3 linked regions of the Caenorhabditis elegans genome follow. The protein of the gene in region 1 purifies or fractionates together with the protein of each later gene. This does not show direct contact. Each region holds a gene or a part of one and is shown in the gene's direction. Other genes may lie near its edges. The genes, in order: F09E5.8, Y79H2A.12 and ZK402.5.

Region 1 (3,957 bases):
CACAAAGCAAAAACCAATGGAACTGCCACGTTCGTATCGAGATCCTGCAATGTCATTGGTTGACATCAAAATACCTTTCAATTAATACGCACCGTGACTGTTGCGATGTAAAGCTGTCGATAATTTTTCGGAATTTCTGAGAATTTCCCATCCAAATGCAAGCTGTGCGCACCATACAAAGATTCAGCTTCCTCTGCTTGCCACACAACTAGCAAATCCTTATTAGACTCAAACGTTCCAGAACTGTCTAAACAACATTTTCCTCCTTTAAAATAGGCAGAATCGAGGGCTGGTGGAAAACTATTCGTCGATTTCCTACTCAGCATACCGTCCAGTATGCGACTGATTTCTTTCTGGAAAAAGTATATGTTTTATTGATTCCACGATTTATTATTTACGTTGCTCTTGAGAAGTTCAACAACTTCATATCTTTTTGAAAGTGTAACAGCAAGCTCATAAAGGCGTTCTTTTGATGGTGAAGAAGACATTGATGAAACTGCGATTTTTCTCATAATTAATTGCACCTAAAATATAAATTTAGTTTTGAAAAACGTAAATTTCAGTATACTGCAATTTCGCTTCTCCTCGATTCGTGATCACAATCACGACTGACTTTCACATGGCCTGTCTCAGTCTTGATACGCACGGATCCGGGGCACTTTCTCGAGTTTTCCAGTGTAACGTTACATCTGAAATAAATTAATGAAATGTGTGACAATTTTTTCCTAGCGATAATTCACCTAGCCACAATGTCCCCATTTTTCAGTGTTTCTCTCGGACGATAGCTTTGATTGTTGAAAATGACCAATGGAGCTCCTCGTTTCGTCGAAATACTGAAATTGCATAGTTTCTATGTTTAATTGTTTTAGAAGTTAGAAGGCATACCAAAAATCTGAACTATTCTCGCTGATATATTCCGGTGCCATTTCAAGCACCCCTCTTGGGCTATTGGCAATCGGTCTATAGTGCATCAGAGAACGTAACACGTGTGACTTGCTGGAATTTTATATTTTGATAGAGTTATTGATTAATAACAACCTATTTGTCAAAAACCAATCCGGATGGTATGGAGTCTCTTCGTCTTCAAACGGAGATTGATATGAATTGTGACCTAAAAATACAACGTCTGTTATTTCTATTTAATTATTAGTTAAGACCTACACAGAAGATTGAATTCACTTGTTTCCTGTAGATCGTGATCCATTTCTTCGGGAAATACAGCTGGATAAAAATCAAAAAATCTTTCAGTATTTGCCATGGAATCTGTTGTATCCAAGCTTGTTTCCTGAGTAGAATTGGCTATTGAATCGCATTCCGGGATATCGTCAGTGGATCTCGGCTCATCGAGCTCTCGAGAATTTGAAGGAAACTGCATATACGAATCAGACCGACGTGGTGATGCAGGTGGAGTAACCAGATCGATTGTTGCAGGAGTCGATTCACATACATTTGTAGTAGACGCTTTCGGATTTCTTTTCTTCTTTAGATCCCTGTCGAACGCTGAAAAATACTTTTCACTCTTCAATTAATCTTTAGACATCAATACTTGCCTCTAAAAAAGCGTTTGGCTCCGCTTGGATCACTCTCAGCATCAAGTTCTTCTTTTTTCCGGGAAGGAAACGCTCATTTTCGATTAATATTAATTTTGATCGATTCGAAATCGAATGAAACCCGTTTTTGTCATCGAAAATTCTGAAAATATCCGTATTTAGCTCGAATAAAACTAATTAATTTCCATTAAAAATCCGTTTTTAATTGAATTCCGTTCGAAATTTCCTGTTGGAAAAATAAATAAATAAATACGAAGAAGCGTGCGGCGCATTGCAAAAAGCCGTGCGGCGCATTGCGAAGGACTGTGCGGCGGGCTTGCGAAAAGGCGCGCCGCACATTGCCCTACTGAAAGCGTTCCTTACGAAAAAATCCCCTTACGAAAACGTACCCCCTCTAGAAATTTCTTATTTTGTTGTTTCCTTCCTTTTCCGTGTTTAGAACTAAATAATATAGTTTTCAGGTAGAAAATGTCTATAGAAATTGTACAAAAAAGTCTATTCAACATTATTGAAGCCGTTGCCGACGCCGTTACTGCTTCGCAAGCCACAAAAAGGTTGGTAAACCGGAAATTATTGCGAAACTAAATTAATAATGAATTTTTCAGATGTCGACTTGTTGCTGTCAGTAAAACAAAGTCTGCTGATTTAATAGAGGCATGTTATTCTCAAAATCAGCGTCATTTTGGAGAGAATTACGTCCAAGAAGTGAGAGAAAAATCATCAACAAAACTTTTGAAAATGATTCCTTATTGTTCAGCTTGAAGAAAAATCTGATGTTTTGGCGTCAAAATGTTTAGATATTCGTTGGCATTTTATCGGACAAGTGCAATCAAATAAAGTTAGTTCTGATGGAAAATTTACCTTATTTATTAATCATTTAAAAATTTTTAGATTGGAAAAATTTGCAATTCTCCTGGACTTTGGTGTGTTGAAACAGTGGAGACTGAGAAACATGCTCGGATTTTCGACAAGGTGTGTTTAGTGACTATTAATCTATTTTAATTAAATATCTTGAAGGAATGGTCAAAACACGGAGCCAATTTGTCACCACTACGAGTTCTCGTGCAAGTAAATACATCCGGAGAAGATAATAAAGGAGGAATCGAGATTGGAGAAGCACCGAAACTTGCGGAATTCATTCGAAAAGAATGCCAAAACTTGAAATTTGATGGATTCATGACTATCGGATCGTTTGACAACAGGTATATATTTATTTATTGTTACGACTATCCTACTAAAAAGTTGTTCAGTGGCAGGTGAAATGGAAATAGGTGTAAGAAATGATGAAAATGAACGTTTTATATTAATTATTACTTGTAAATAATGATCAAGCTAACAAGCGATAAATTAAATATTTACCATAAAATAAAAGTTCAATTTTACAGCCACGCAAGCGGAGAAAATCCGGATTTCGAGAAGCTCTTCAAAGTCCGACAAACATGGGCAGAACAAACAGGTGAACAGATTTTCTAGAAAAATCAAAGCGAGAACCGTCAGTGGTTGACGTCAAAAAATAAAACTTATGCTTCAAGAAATGTTTTGAAATGTTGGATCCACAAAGTTTCTAAACAAAAACTTGAAAAGTATTGATTTCAGGTGAATCTGCGGATTCAGTAGAACTCTCAATGGGAATGTCCGATGATTTCCTTCAAGCAATTCATCAAGGTGCAACAAGTGTTCGAGTGGGAAGCAAGCTGTTCGGAGCCAGAGAATACAAAAATAAATAGATTTACATTCCATTTTTTAGTTTGTTATTTTTTTAGTATTTAAAGAAAATTCACTATTCAAATTCACTTTTTTTTTAATTACCAGATTCCAATTCAGTTGCTGTTACTGTTTAAATACCTTTCTTTTGAATTGAACTTTTCAGTTCCTTCAGCATTTTTTTCAGTCACAGAATAATGGATAATTTCCGATCGGAAATTCTCAAGGAAACTCGAGAATTAATGCTCAATGAGCAGCAACATGTAGGTTAATTCTTTACTTTTAAGCAAATTAAGCGTGATTCATTCAGGAGGAAAGCATGAAATCTTGGAACGGACCTGAAACGAAAGGATTTGAATTAAAATTCGGAGGCACCAAGCGAGGAGTTCCACAGAACTCTGGAGTAGTTGGTCAGGTTTTCATCAGTGAGGATGGAGGATTTGAAGCAATCATAACTGGATATGTCATAAAAAGTAAGTTTTGAAAATAAAATTGTCAGTTATAATTCGATTTTTCAGACAGTCTCCGTTCCATCGCAGCTTCTTTCACAGTAACTCCTTCGTCTTCTCTGAAATCTGATTTGTCGGAAGGTCTTCATCCACTCGTGCTTGCTATTGGATCAGCTCTTACTCTCAATCATATTTTGATGCTCGGCTCTCTGCGTGACAAAATTCTGAAAAACTTGACACCCAAGAGTGTTGCA
Region 2 (6,026 bases), on another chromosome or scaffold:
TCATAAACGAAACAAAAGCGCAGCTTTTGTATAAATATCTTTTGTATAAAAGAATACGACACGTTTCGTATTTGATTTTCCTTTTTTTCGCTTCTTTCCGAACAAAAACATGCCTATTTTCTGGGTAAGAGAAATTTTGCTAATTTTTTTTTTCAAAATTTAATTTTTCGAAATTTTCAGACCACACCAAAAAGTGTTAAGCTGGCAAAGGTTTGTCTGCTGGCCACGGATTTCTGGCTTCCCTCATAAATTGAAATGGAAGAGTTTGCCGAACTAGGCCAGGCCATATTTGGGGTAGATTTACGGCGCGTTGCGTGTCACGTCGCGGCTCGTGGAGTACACACGACTTTCCTTGTCCGGCAGGCGATTGTCAATGGAGCACGAAAAGTTACAATGAGGAAGGCCAGAACCCCGTGTTTTTTTCAAGGAAAAAAATTGAAAAATGTATGAGTCATCAAAATCATTCAGGTCGTGGCTATCGTGATAACCATAATATTCCTGATTCTTCCAATTGTCAACTGGATTTTCGATTTGGCTCCAATTGAAGCACATAAATGGGCAATCTCAATCGGAATGATAATTGGAGCTGTTCTTGAACTTGTTCTCATTACAATAATTATCCTAGAATGCAAATTCCTAATTTTCATTTCATTGGTGATCTTGGTGAGCTTCTTTAAAAAATCCCTTCTTCAAAAATTCAAATTAACAGGCCATCAACATTGCCGCTTTCACACTTTGTGCCAACCTTTCAGTTTTAAAATTTGCAAGTGAGTGGGTTTCTTTTAACTCAAAGCTCCTAATTTATTACATATCTGGAAAAAAAAACTATTCAGTCTCATCAATGACCACACTGAAAGCCAAGCTAGGTATCGATAATGAAGATGAAGCGCTTGACAGATCAATCGTGATGGAGCTCATAGCTATTGCTGTTCTGATATGTGAGTTGAAATTAAAATTAACAGTAAAGGCAAGCAGGTAAGCATGTAGGCAGTCAGGCGCGAGGCATGCAGAAGGTAGGCATAAAGTAGGCACGTAGGCTGTAGGCATGAAGTGGATGGGCACGAAGATTGGTACATAGGAATGTAGTTGGACATAAGGTAAATGCTTAAGTTAGGCAAGCAGGGATTAGGTAATGAGATATGTATAAAGTAGGCAGGTAGGCAAATAGGTATGTGGTAAGTATAGGCAAGGATCAGGTATGCTTGCAAGCTGCTAGGTATAAAGTAGGCACGTTAGTAGGCACATAGGCAGGCAGATATACGGAGGCAGGCGTGAAGTATGCACTAAAGTAGGCATCATAAAAGATGCACGAATGAAGGTACGTAGGCCGGCATCTGGTAGGTATGAAGGTAGAAATGAGGGAAGTTTGAGGAATGCGAAAGGGGTAGGCAAATAGGCATAGAGTAGGCAAATGTAGTAGGCACGCACGCAAAGAGGCATGCCGTAGGCACATGGATTGGAACGTAGGCAGTCAAAAATGAGATGGCCACGTAGGCAAACACGTAGGCATTCAGTCATCAGGTAGGCATGAAGTAAGCATAGGCAGGTGGGCATCATAAAGGATGAACCTATGTAGGCATGTAGAAATTAGGTGTGGACATAGGCAGACAGGCAATGGATCAGTATGTAGGCAGGCAGGAGGTAGGCATGCGCTCCTGAAGTCAAAAAAATTTCAAATAAATTTAATTTTTTTTCCAGTGTTGCTCGTGAGATATTACGCTGTCCTAACAGTCTATCGTTGGACAAAACTACCACGTGTCGCTGCGGGACCCCGGATTACAGTTCATAATATTAAATAATTATTAAAATGTGAAAAAGTTCGTGATAAAGTTCTTGAAAAAATTGAAAACAAAACAGTCATCCAAAGAGGATTAATAATATGTTTCGAGAGGGATAACCAGTTTTTGAGGTTAATACGTTTTGAATATTAACCATTGATTTTTCTACACTGCAAAAATTTTCCGTTTTTTTTTTCGGAAATTTTTATACCAAATGAATTAGCAATGTCTTATGGTGGCCCGGTAAGTTAGAAATGAAAGAAAAAATTGAAATAAAAATTTTAAAAAGTTGTTTCTAGCCCCGTATTTTTTGCGTTCAAACCCGCCACGTCATAATTTTTTTCTCAATATTTGAATTATTTTTGTGTGGATGGCAGACGGTGTTGAATGAGGATCGTATTACAAGAACGACTGGAACTATATCCGCAATTCTGACACTTGTCATTCTATACAGTGTTGTCAAGAATCGAGCGTCTCTATTGAAAATTGCAATGTATATATCGGTAATGGTGTTGGGAAATTTTTTAATATAAAGGTGGAGCAGCGTAGAAATTGCCAAAAAAAACTACTCTGATGGCGCCAAAATTAGCGAATATCATAGTAAAACTTTTCAAATTTTTTACTTAACATTTTTATTGACCGCCCAAAAGTGGCAATTACAGAGTTTTTGCCACTTTGAGAATATTTAAATCCTGCAGTATTTGAATCAGGGAAGGGCGGCAAACGATATATCTTTTTTCCGGCAAACGACGACTCGGCAAACCGGCGAATTGTCGGATTTAAAATTTCTGGCAAATCGGCAAAACGGCGAATTGTCGGATTTAAAATTTCCGGCAAATCGGCAAACCGGCAAATTGTCGGATTTAAAATTTCCGGCAAATCGGCAAACCGGTAAAATGCCGGAATTGAAAATTTCCGGCAAATCGGCAAACCGGCATTTTTTGCCGAGTGTGCCGGAAAAAAGGCAACTGCCGAAAATTTTTGACATATTGTGGTTTTGTTTTTATTTATATATAGTCGGCACGGTACAATTTTGCCGACTAATATTGTAATTCTGAAGTTCTGAAATTGCCAAAAAAAAGTGCAAAACCACAATTTGCCGGTAATTTCAAATTGGCAGATTGCCGGAATTAAAATTTCCGGCAAATCGGCAAACCGGCAAAAATTTGAATTTCAAAAAGGCACAGTTTTAAGTTTTCCGTCTTATAAAATCCCTCTAAAACATTCGGCAAATTGCTAGCCGGCAAACGGCTAATCGGCAAATTGCCGGAATTGAAAATTTTCGCAAATCTGCAAATCGGCAAAGTGCTGAAAATGAAAAATTCCGGCAAACCGGCCAACTGGCAATTTTCCGACTTGCCGAAAATTAGCAGATCGGCAATTGCCAGATAGGACATAAAATTTGAAAAACAAACATTTGTCGACAACTTCCAAAAAAGTGGCAAAAATAGATTTTTCCATTAAAAAAAGCATACAAAATTTAGAGCAGATTTTCGAATTTTTGCTATGATATTCGGCAGGGCTTCCATATATGCGCTAAAACGCCTGCCTGCCTGCCTGACCATAAGGCGACCCTCGCCTGCCTCTCGCCTTACTCCGCGCCTTATGCTGATGTATGTATACGTGAATTTTTTTTGCATTTCTTAATTTGATTTTCATCAAATTGATATAACGAGAAAATTAGAAATTTGTAAATTCACTTAAAAATGCAGGCGGGCAGGTTTCAGGCAGGCGTCAGGCAATGGAGCCGTACCATGGAAGCCCTAATATTTGATCAGAACAATTTCCTCTAGTGGCGCTACTCCACTTCTTTAAAAATGTTTTTTTTTGTAGATATTCCAACTTGCATTCGAATTCGGCGAAATCCTTGTAACTCCAGTTTATTTTTCAAGTCAAGTGGCGTCAGGATACGAATCAAATGATACGTATCCTAACTTTCTCGGCGTAAAAACGGCGGAAGAGGATCGTTTTGTCATTGGGCTTTTGACAGGATATTCTGTGGAAATAATCATGACAATTTCTGTTACATGTGGGTTTTTGAATTAAATTAATTCCGAAAATTCATCATATAACTTTTTTCAAACATTTTTCGAACTAGCAATCTTTTAATTTTTATTCAAAGGCGGAGTAGAGTCAGAAAATTTTTCGCTATTATTTTTAAATGACTGAAAAACCCCTAATGTCCGATATAATTGTAAAAATAAATAAAAAATCCTAATTTTTCAAATGATTTTTTTCGAATTCCCGCGCAAATACGTGACGTCATTTTCGATATTTTCGCTTTTTCTGGCTAAACTCTTCTGGTTTTATTTATTTTTCTTTTGCAGATTTGCCAGAAAATTCCGGTGATTTGCCGATTTGCCGGAAATTTCAATTCCGGCAATTTACAGATTTGCCGGAAATTTCAACATCGGCAACTTGACAATTTTCGGGAAAGTTCAATTCCGGCAATTTGCCAGAAATTTCAATTTCGCCCTTTTCCCGATTTGCCGGAAATTTAAATTTCGCCATTTTGCCGATTTGCCGGAAATTTCAATTTCGCCATTTTGCCGATTTGCCGGAAATTTAAATTTCGCCATTTTGCCGATTTGCCGGAAATTTAAATTTCGCCCTTTTCCCGATTTGCCGGAAATTTCAATTCCGGAAATTTACAGATTTGCCGGAAATTTCAACATCGGCAACTTGACAATTTTCGGGAAAGTTCAATTTCGCCCTTTTCCCGATTTGCCGGAAATTTCAATTTCGCCATTTTGCCGATTTGCCGGAAATTTCAATTTCGCCATTTTGCCGATTTGCCGGAAATTTCAATTCCGGCAATTTACAGATTTGCCGGAAATTTCAACATCGGCAACTTGACAATTTTCGGGAAAGTTCAATTTCGCCCTTTTCCCGATTTGCCGGAAATTTCAATTTCGCCATTTTGCCGATTTGCCGGAAATTTCAATTTCGCCATTTTGCCGATTTGCCGGAAATTTCAATTCCGGCAATTTACAGATTTGCCGGAAATTTCAACATCGGCAACTTGACAATTTTCGGGAAAGTTCAATTCCGGCAATTTGCCAGAAATTTCAATTTCGCCCTTTTCCCGATTTGCCGGAAATTTCAATATCGCCATTTTGCCGATTTGCCGGAAATTTCAATTTCGCCATTTTGCCGATTTGCCAAAATATCGAAAATGACGTCACTCATTTGCGCGGGAATTCAAATGTTTCAAATTTAATTCGGTCGTTTCTATGAATTTTGAAATATGTAAAAATTCACTAAAAGTTTAGGACATTTTTGAAAAAATTTTCACAGTCATATTTGGTCATATATTCTAGGCGTATATTCTGTAATTTAAAGCGAAAAATTGTTTAAAAATTTTTCAGTATCAATAATCAAATTCATTCTAATCAATCGATGTTACGTCTATGCAAAACGAATCGAGAATGGGATGCTGGTTAGACAGTCGGATTTAACAAATGTGATGAAGTTTTGAAAGTTCCTTGGAAACACGTGGTGCCAGGCTGTCCCACCACGGTTTGATCTACAAAAAATGCGGCAATTTTTTGCCAAAAAAAGTGTGACGTCAGCACGTTCTTAACCATGCGAAATCAGTTGAGAACTCTGCCGCATTTTTTGTAGATCTACGTAGATCAAACCAACATGGGACACTCTGACACCACACGTTCTGAAATAAATACTTTTTTTTTCTTGATTTGCAAATACAAATTCAACAGCGAATAATTTTATTTACAAACCTGCACGCGTAAAAGATGGGATGATGATGATGATGGAAAATAATCGGGGGAGGACGAATTGTATAACAATTATTACATTCGAAAATTATTTTTTTTTAGCTCAGCTCAAAATTAAAATTCTCAAACAATCAGTGGTTTCAATGGTTTCTGAGTGGTTGCTGCTGTCTCAGCCCCTGCTGCCTCGAGAGCCTCACGTGGTGGATTGTTCTCGAAGAATTTGAGAACAGCTGCGAATGGATCCAACTCCTTCTCATGATTATCTTCAGATGATGTATGTTCAGCATCTTCTTCAGATTCCATTGGTTCAGGTGTTGTGGTGCGTTCTTCGATTCTTGGGAAGCTGTCCTCAATCACAATTGCTCCCTTTCCTTCGAGTTCTGGCTCTTCGGTGGTTGATGGGGTGGCTGAGTTGAGCTCTTTGTTGGCCGCCTGGAATATTACTCATTATGCCTCAGTGAGCACAAAACAGGGGTGGGCCGGAAATTGCCGTTCGGCAAATTTGGCAAAT
Region 3 (4,716 bases), on another chromosome or scaffold:
TCCATTTTCCATCCAAATTGTTTATTAAACAAATAAAACGAAAACAAAGCTTTTATTCAGAAAAAAATGGAAATTGTAATTTATAACTTGAATGGCGAGGAGACCAGACACGGTGGCACTTGAATGGTGACTTGAATGGCAAGGAGACCAGAAGCATTTATTCTGTCCTGTAAACGGTAGGGTAAGGTAAAAAAAGACTAAGAAAAAAAACTCACCATACTCTAATGAGTCCTTCAATCTCATCCAGGGCCTCGAGATTGAGAATTATTTTGCGTAATTCTCTGTTCTCCTGACGAAGAAAACGATATAGATTTGAAAAAAATCGGTGCATGAACGCGGTTTGAGTGGCAGGTGCGAAATTTAGCTCCCTGGCTGGGGGTGGGAAATTTAGCTCCACATACTACTGAAAGTCGTCCGAAACTTCTCCAGCAAGCCCAAGCATCACTCGGACACGGCTTTCAATACTGTAATTGTCCAGTTGATCCATGTTTGGCGCAAGCTTTTTATGGAATCTAAATCTAAATTTATTAAAGAGAACCAGGTATAATATTCTCACTTTCGATAATAGGCTCCATCCGAACATCTGGCATTTTCTTTTTTACCGAACTCCATGAAAACTTTTGTTGCCACCAGTGGCTCATTGGCTTCTTTCGTCTTTTCAACAAGAAACGTCATCAATCTTACGTCATCGGCGGAGAGCATGATCTTCGTTGACCTCTTTCGTGCTGCCTTAGAAGATTTACTGTGGATTCTTTCCAACGTGAGTTTTCCGTCGCGTGACTTATAATTGCAGATTCGCATTTTCTTGTCAATCTTAACAGTGCCAGTCGATTTGATCCTGCAACAAACTAAATTCATAAATCTGAAGGTAACATCTCTCCTCACAATGTCATGAACTTGTCCGACACTTTTGCCGACAAGGCAAACGTCACTTGAATGCGTGACACGACACTGTATTCGTTTTTTTCGTTTTATGTTCCGACCCCTACAATACTTTAATACGAATCCTTAAGCATCGTAATTTATTTTCGTTTTTTTTTTTTTGGTTTTTCAAAAATTTCAATTTTTGTTTTTTGGTCCAAACTTTTTTTGGTCCCAGTCCTGTGGCCAACTCTACCTCGGGACAACATAATAGGGGCAACGTTTTTCAATCTCTAAAATAATTTTTGTATAGTTTTATTTGCGCGCATTTGAAAAATCTCATGGGTACGCAAATGAAAAACGCGATTTCAAGATCAAATATATAATCAGGGATTTTTTTAATTTGTTCACATAGATGTTCGGAATCAGGGGAAAATTTGGAGTTATTTAAAAATATTTCCTAGATTTCGGTACCCCACCTTTAATACCTACAGTTGTGACGTAATTTTTCAACACTTTTTAATTTTCCGACACTATTTGAATAACCCCATTCAAAGTTGTATTATTCAAGTCACATGTATTCCGAGAACTTCCTAAATTACAATATATTCGAAATATTATTCATATTGGTAAATATTGATGGATGGATTCCTTTAGTCGACAACATATTGTCACCCCACCATAAAACCCTCAAACATGTTGTCACCGTCTAGATAGGTACGTAGAAAAGAATGACTCACTGTGTTCATATAACCTTGGCGTTAGCAGCTGCACAGCAACATTCTACATTTCCAATCATTCTTTGTTTTACTTGGGTTACTGGTGGTGACCCTCTTCTATTCTTCTAGTTTTCTATATGAACCTTTTCTAATGTTATTCCTATTTTTACTTTAGTAATATTAATTGGTAGAAAAGTAAGTTTTTTTTTGAATTTGTTTCAACAGGTAAGTGGGAATTTTATTTCAAAATATGCAATTTGTTGCTAAATTTTGAGAAATTTATTAAATTGGAAAACTGATAACACTCTTGGTTATCACTTTATTTGAATTTTCGGGCTTTTCTTCTCAAATTTTTTTAATTTTTAAAAGTAGGTGTTTGTCATTGGTGAAAATTATTTAAAACCGCTGAGATAGTGCTATACTCTTTAAATTCTATTATGAAACATTAAAATTTTTCAAATATTGCTTATTAACTTTGATATAAGGTGGATTGATTATTTTAAGTTTAAAATACTGTGTAGGAATACTCAAAGAGTTTAAGAAAAGCATTCAAAAATGCTGTGGAGTAGCGCCAGTGGGAAAAGTGCTAAAACTATTAGAAAACTATTAATATGATGCCAAAATGACCAAATATCACAACAAAACTTTTTAAAATTTTTTTGAAATTTTTTATTTACTGTCAAAAAATGACGATTGACAACTCATTTTTTGCCACTCATAATTCTGGAAGTCGACCAAAAATTTTTTTAAAACTTAAACTTTTTATATTGTAATTTTGTTTCAATTATTCGTATTAAAGTATTGTAGGGGTCGGAACATAAAACGAAAAAAACGAATACAGTGTCGTGTCACGCATTCAAGTGACGTTTGCCTTGTCGGCAAAAGTGTCGGACAAGTTCATGACATTGTGAGGAGAGATGTTACCTTCAGATTTATGAATTTAGTTTGTTGCAGGATCAAATCGACTGGCACTGTTAAGATTGACAAGAAAATGCGAATCTGCAATTATAAGTCACGCGACGGAAAACTCACGTTGGAAAGAATCCACAGTAAATCTTCTAAGGCAGCACGAAAGAGGTCAACGAAGATCATGCTCTCCGCCGATGACGTAAGATTGATGACGTTTCTTGTTGAAAAGACGAAAGAAGCCAATGAGCCACTGGTGGCAACAAAAGTTTTCATGGAGTTCGGTAAAAAAGAAAATGCCAGATGTTCGGATGGAGCCTATTATCGAAAGTGAGAATATTATACCTGGTTCTCTTTAATAAATTTAGATTTAGATTCCATAAAAAGCTTGCGCCAAACATGGATCAACTGGACAATTACAGTATTGAAAGCCGTCTCCGAGTGATGCTTGGGCTTGTTGGAGAAGTTTCGGACGACTTTCTGACACAGTAAAAAATTTTAAAAAGGTTTTTGAGTTAACGAATAGTGATTTACAGAGTTCAAACGGAGGGAATTGTCGTGCTCAATGATGGCAAACGAATTTGCGAGTATGCATCACGTGATGGAAAGCTGAAGTTGGAGGCGGACCACAGTCATTCGGCAAGAATGAAAAGAACATCTGCATATCACCGAAAGGCTGGTCGACACGTGCACATGGTCATGAATGCAAGTCAGACGACGAACCAAGCCGAGAGCGACGAAGATGGCGTAGATTCGGCGACTTCTCTTCCTAGATCTCCGAAAAGAGCGAGAACTGAAATGTATATCCTGTCAATTTCATATTACGCAGTATTTTATTTGATTATTTTCAGGAGCTCGAGTGACGACGACGATGATCTGGAGATTATTGAAACTGTGGACGGATATCCGAAGCCTGAGCCAGTTGATTTCGATTTTGAAGAACTCCTCAATAGAGATTCAACCTATAATTTGCTCATCGATCATTCGCAAGAATATAAAGAAGTGATGATGGAAGAGAACAATCAGCCAACTATTTATGTGAAATCTCTTCAATTGGACAGTGACGACGATGAGGTGCAATACATCGGAGCGATGAAGGGACAGCCGAAGCCTGAACCAATCTTCGAAGGATTTGCACCACATAATTCGAATAGCGATCATGTGCAAGAAGAACAAAAAACTGGTGTTCCACGCTTCGATCGTCAACAAATCAGTCTTTCCGCGAATACTGGAGCCACTTCAGATGAACCCATTAATATGTCTGAATTCCTGAAACAACTGACCCAGTTCATTTGCTTTCTCAAAAGTAGGGAACTCGAGGAGCTCAAGCAACAAATCAAAAAGTCAATTGGAACTAATGTTGATAAGGTTTACAGTTCTCATGGAAAAAAAATTATTTTGAAAATTCGATTTTCAGAAAATCCTATTTGCCGAGCTTCGTGGAGTTTTCGAGGCATTCCTCATCACGATCAATCGAAAAATCAAAGCAACCGCTTGTCCCTGCTATGTAGGTCAAGGATTTCCTTCTCAAGTTCAATGGACCTTTTTTTCCTTTTTTTTTTGGGATGAAAAAATTCGCAAAAAAATTTCCCGTGGTGGAGGGTTGAACTCATCCCCTCCCCCCTCCCACCCCCCATTTTTCAAAAGAATTTTTGACATTTCAAATTCGAATGATTTGTGTGTTCTAAGTTTCCTTAGACTATGTTAGGTCTTTTTTTTTAAAGTTGTATGAAAAATCAATAAAGTTCGTCCAACAAAAAAAAATTCGAAAACATTTTTAATGGTTTTTTTTTTCAATTCTTGCATGTTTGCCCAATTTATGCGAAATCCACCTATCAAAACTCAGATAAAAGCTGACAAGGTGCACCATTGGACAGGCGAGAGCCTGAAAAACGAGTTCCCAAAAAATCGGGAAAATCGATAGGAAAAACGTTATGATTTTTTACCCAGAACGTATTTTTCACCCTAAGAAAGAATTTTTCATTAGAATTTTTAACTGTTTTTTTTCAGTTGTTAAGGACATTCGGGATGGCTGATGTGATTGATGCAGAAATGGAAACGATAGAGGAAATGCTGTGGCCAGAAAGAATAATTTTTGTTATAATGATACTTGTAATTCTTGGGAGTTTATTTACCGTTTCCTAGATTTTTAAAGTGTTCTCTATGAATGAACCTAATTAATTTCTTGTATTTTGCAGTACATATTTCACCAAAATATAATACAAAACTC

The links.
Region 2: the proteins of F09E5.8 (region 1) and Y79H2A.12 fractionate together in Caenorhabditis elegans (co-fractionation; one large-scale study listed by BioGRID). This does not show direct contact.
Region 3: the proteins of F09E5.8 (region 1) and ZK402.5 fractionate together in Caenorhabditis elegans (co-fractionation; one large-scale study listed by BioGRID). This does not show direct contact.

What each region holds. Positions count from the first base shown.
Region 1 is NC_003280.10:5,348,658-5,352,614, forward strand, and holds F09E5.8 (Pyridoxal phosphate homeostasis protein), read left to right. Parts: upstream 1-2,011; 5' UTR 2,012-2,018; coding exon 2,019-2,104; intron 2,105-2,155; coding exon 2,156-2,255; intron 2,256-2,307; coding exon 2,308-2,388; intron 2,389-2,441; coding exon 2,442-2,522; intron 2,523-2,567; coding exon 2,568-2,752; intron 2,753-2,935; coding exon 2,936-3,006; intron 3,007-3,146; coding exon 3,147-3,277; 3' UTR 3,278-3,336; downstream 3,337-3,957. Other genes in the region: F09E5.7 (PI31_Prot_N domain-containing protein), read left to right, coding at 3,452-3,517, 3,565-3,727, 3,773-3,957. UniProt on the Caenorhabditis elegans protein: Pyridoxal 5'-phosphate (PLP)-binding protein, which may be involved in intracellular homeostatic regulation of pyridoxal 5'-phosphate (PLP), the active form of vitamin B6.
Region 2 is NC_003281.10:12,024,789-12,030,814, reverse strand, and holds Y79H2A.12 (Serpentine Receptor, class BC (Class B-like)), read left to right. Parts: upstream 1-1,945; 5' UTR 1,946-2,003; coding exon 2,004-2,021; intron 2,022-2,077; coding exon 2,078-2,281; intron 2,282-3,611; coding exon 3,612-3,807; intron 3,808-5,146; coding exon 5,147-5,256; 3' UTR 5,257-5,464; downstream 5,465-6,026. Other genes in the region: Y79H2A.2 (MARVEL domain-containing protein), read left to right, coding at 110-124, 181-210, 469-663, 710-767, 834-938, 1,699-1,799; brp-1 (uncharacterized protein), read right to left, coding at 5,639-5,947.
Region 3 is NC_003284.9:1,398,302-1,403,017, reverse strand, and holds ZK402.5 (SPK domain-containing protein), read left to right. Parts: upstream 1-1,658; 5' UTR 1,659-1,775; intron 1,776-2,387; 5' UTR 2,388-2,479; coding exon 2,480-2,487; intron 2,488-2,534; coding exon 2,535-2,816; intron 2,817-2,860; coding exon 2,861-2,974; intron 2,975-3,022; coding exon 3,023-3,286; intron 3,287-3,337; coding exon 3,338-3,854; intron 3,855-3,903; coding exon 3,904-4,194; downstream 4,195-4,716.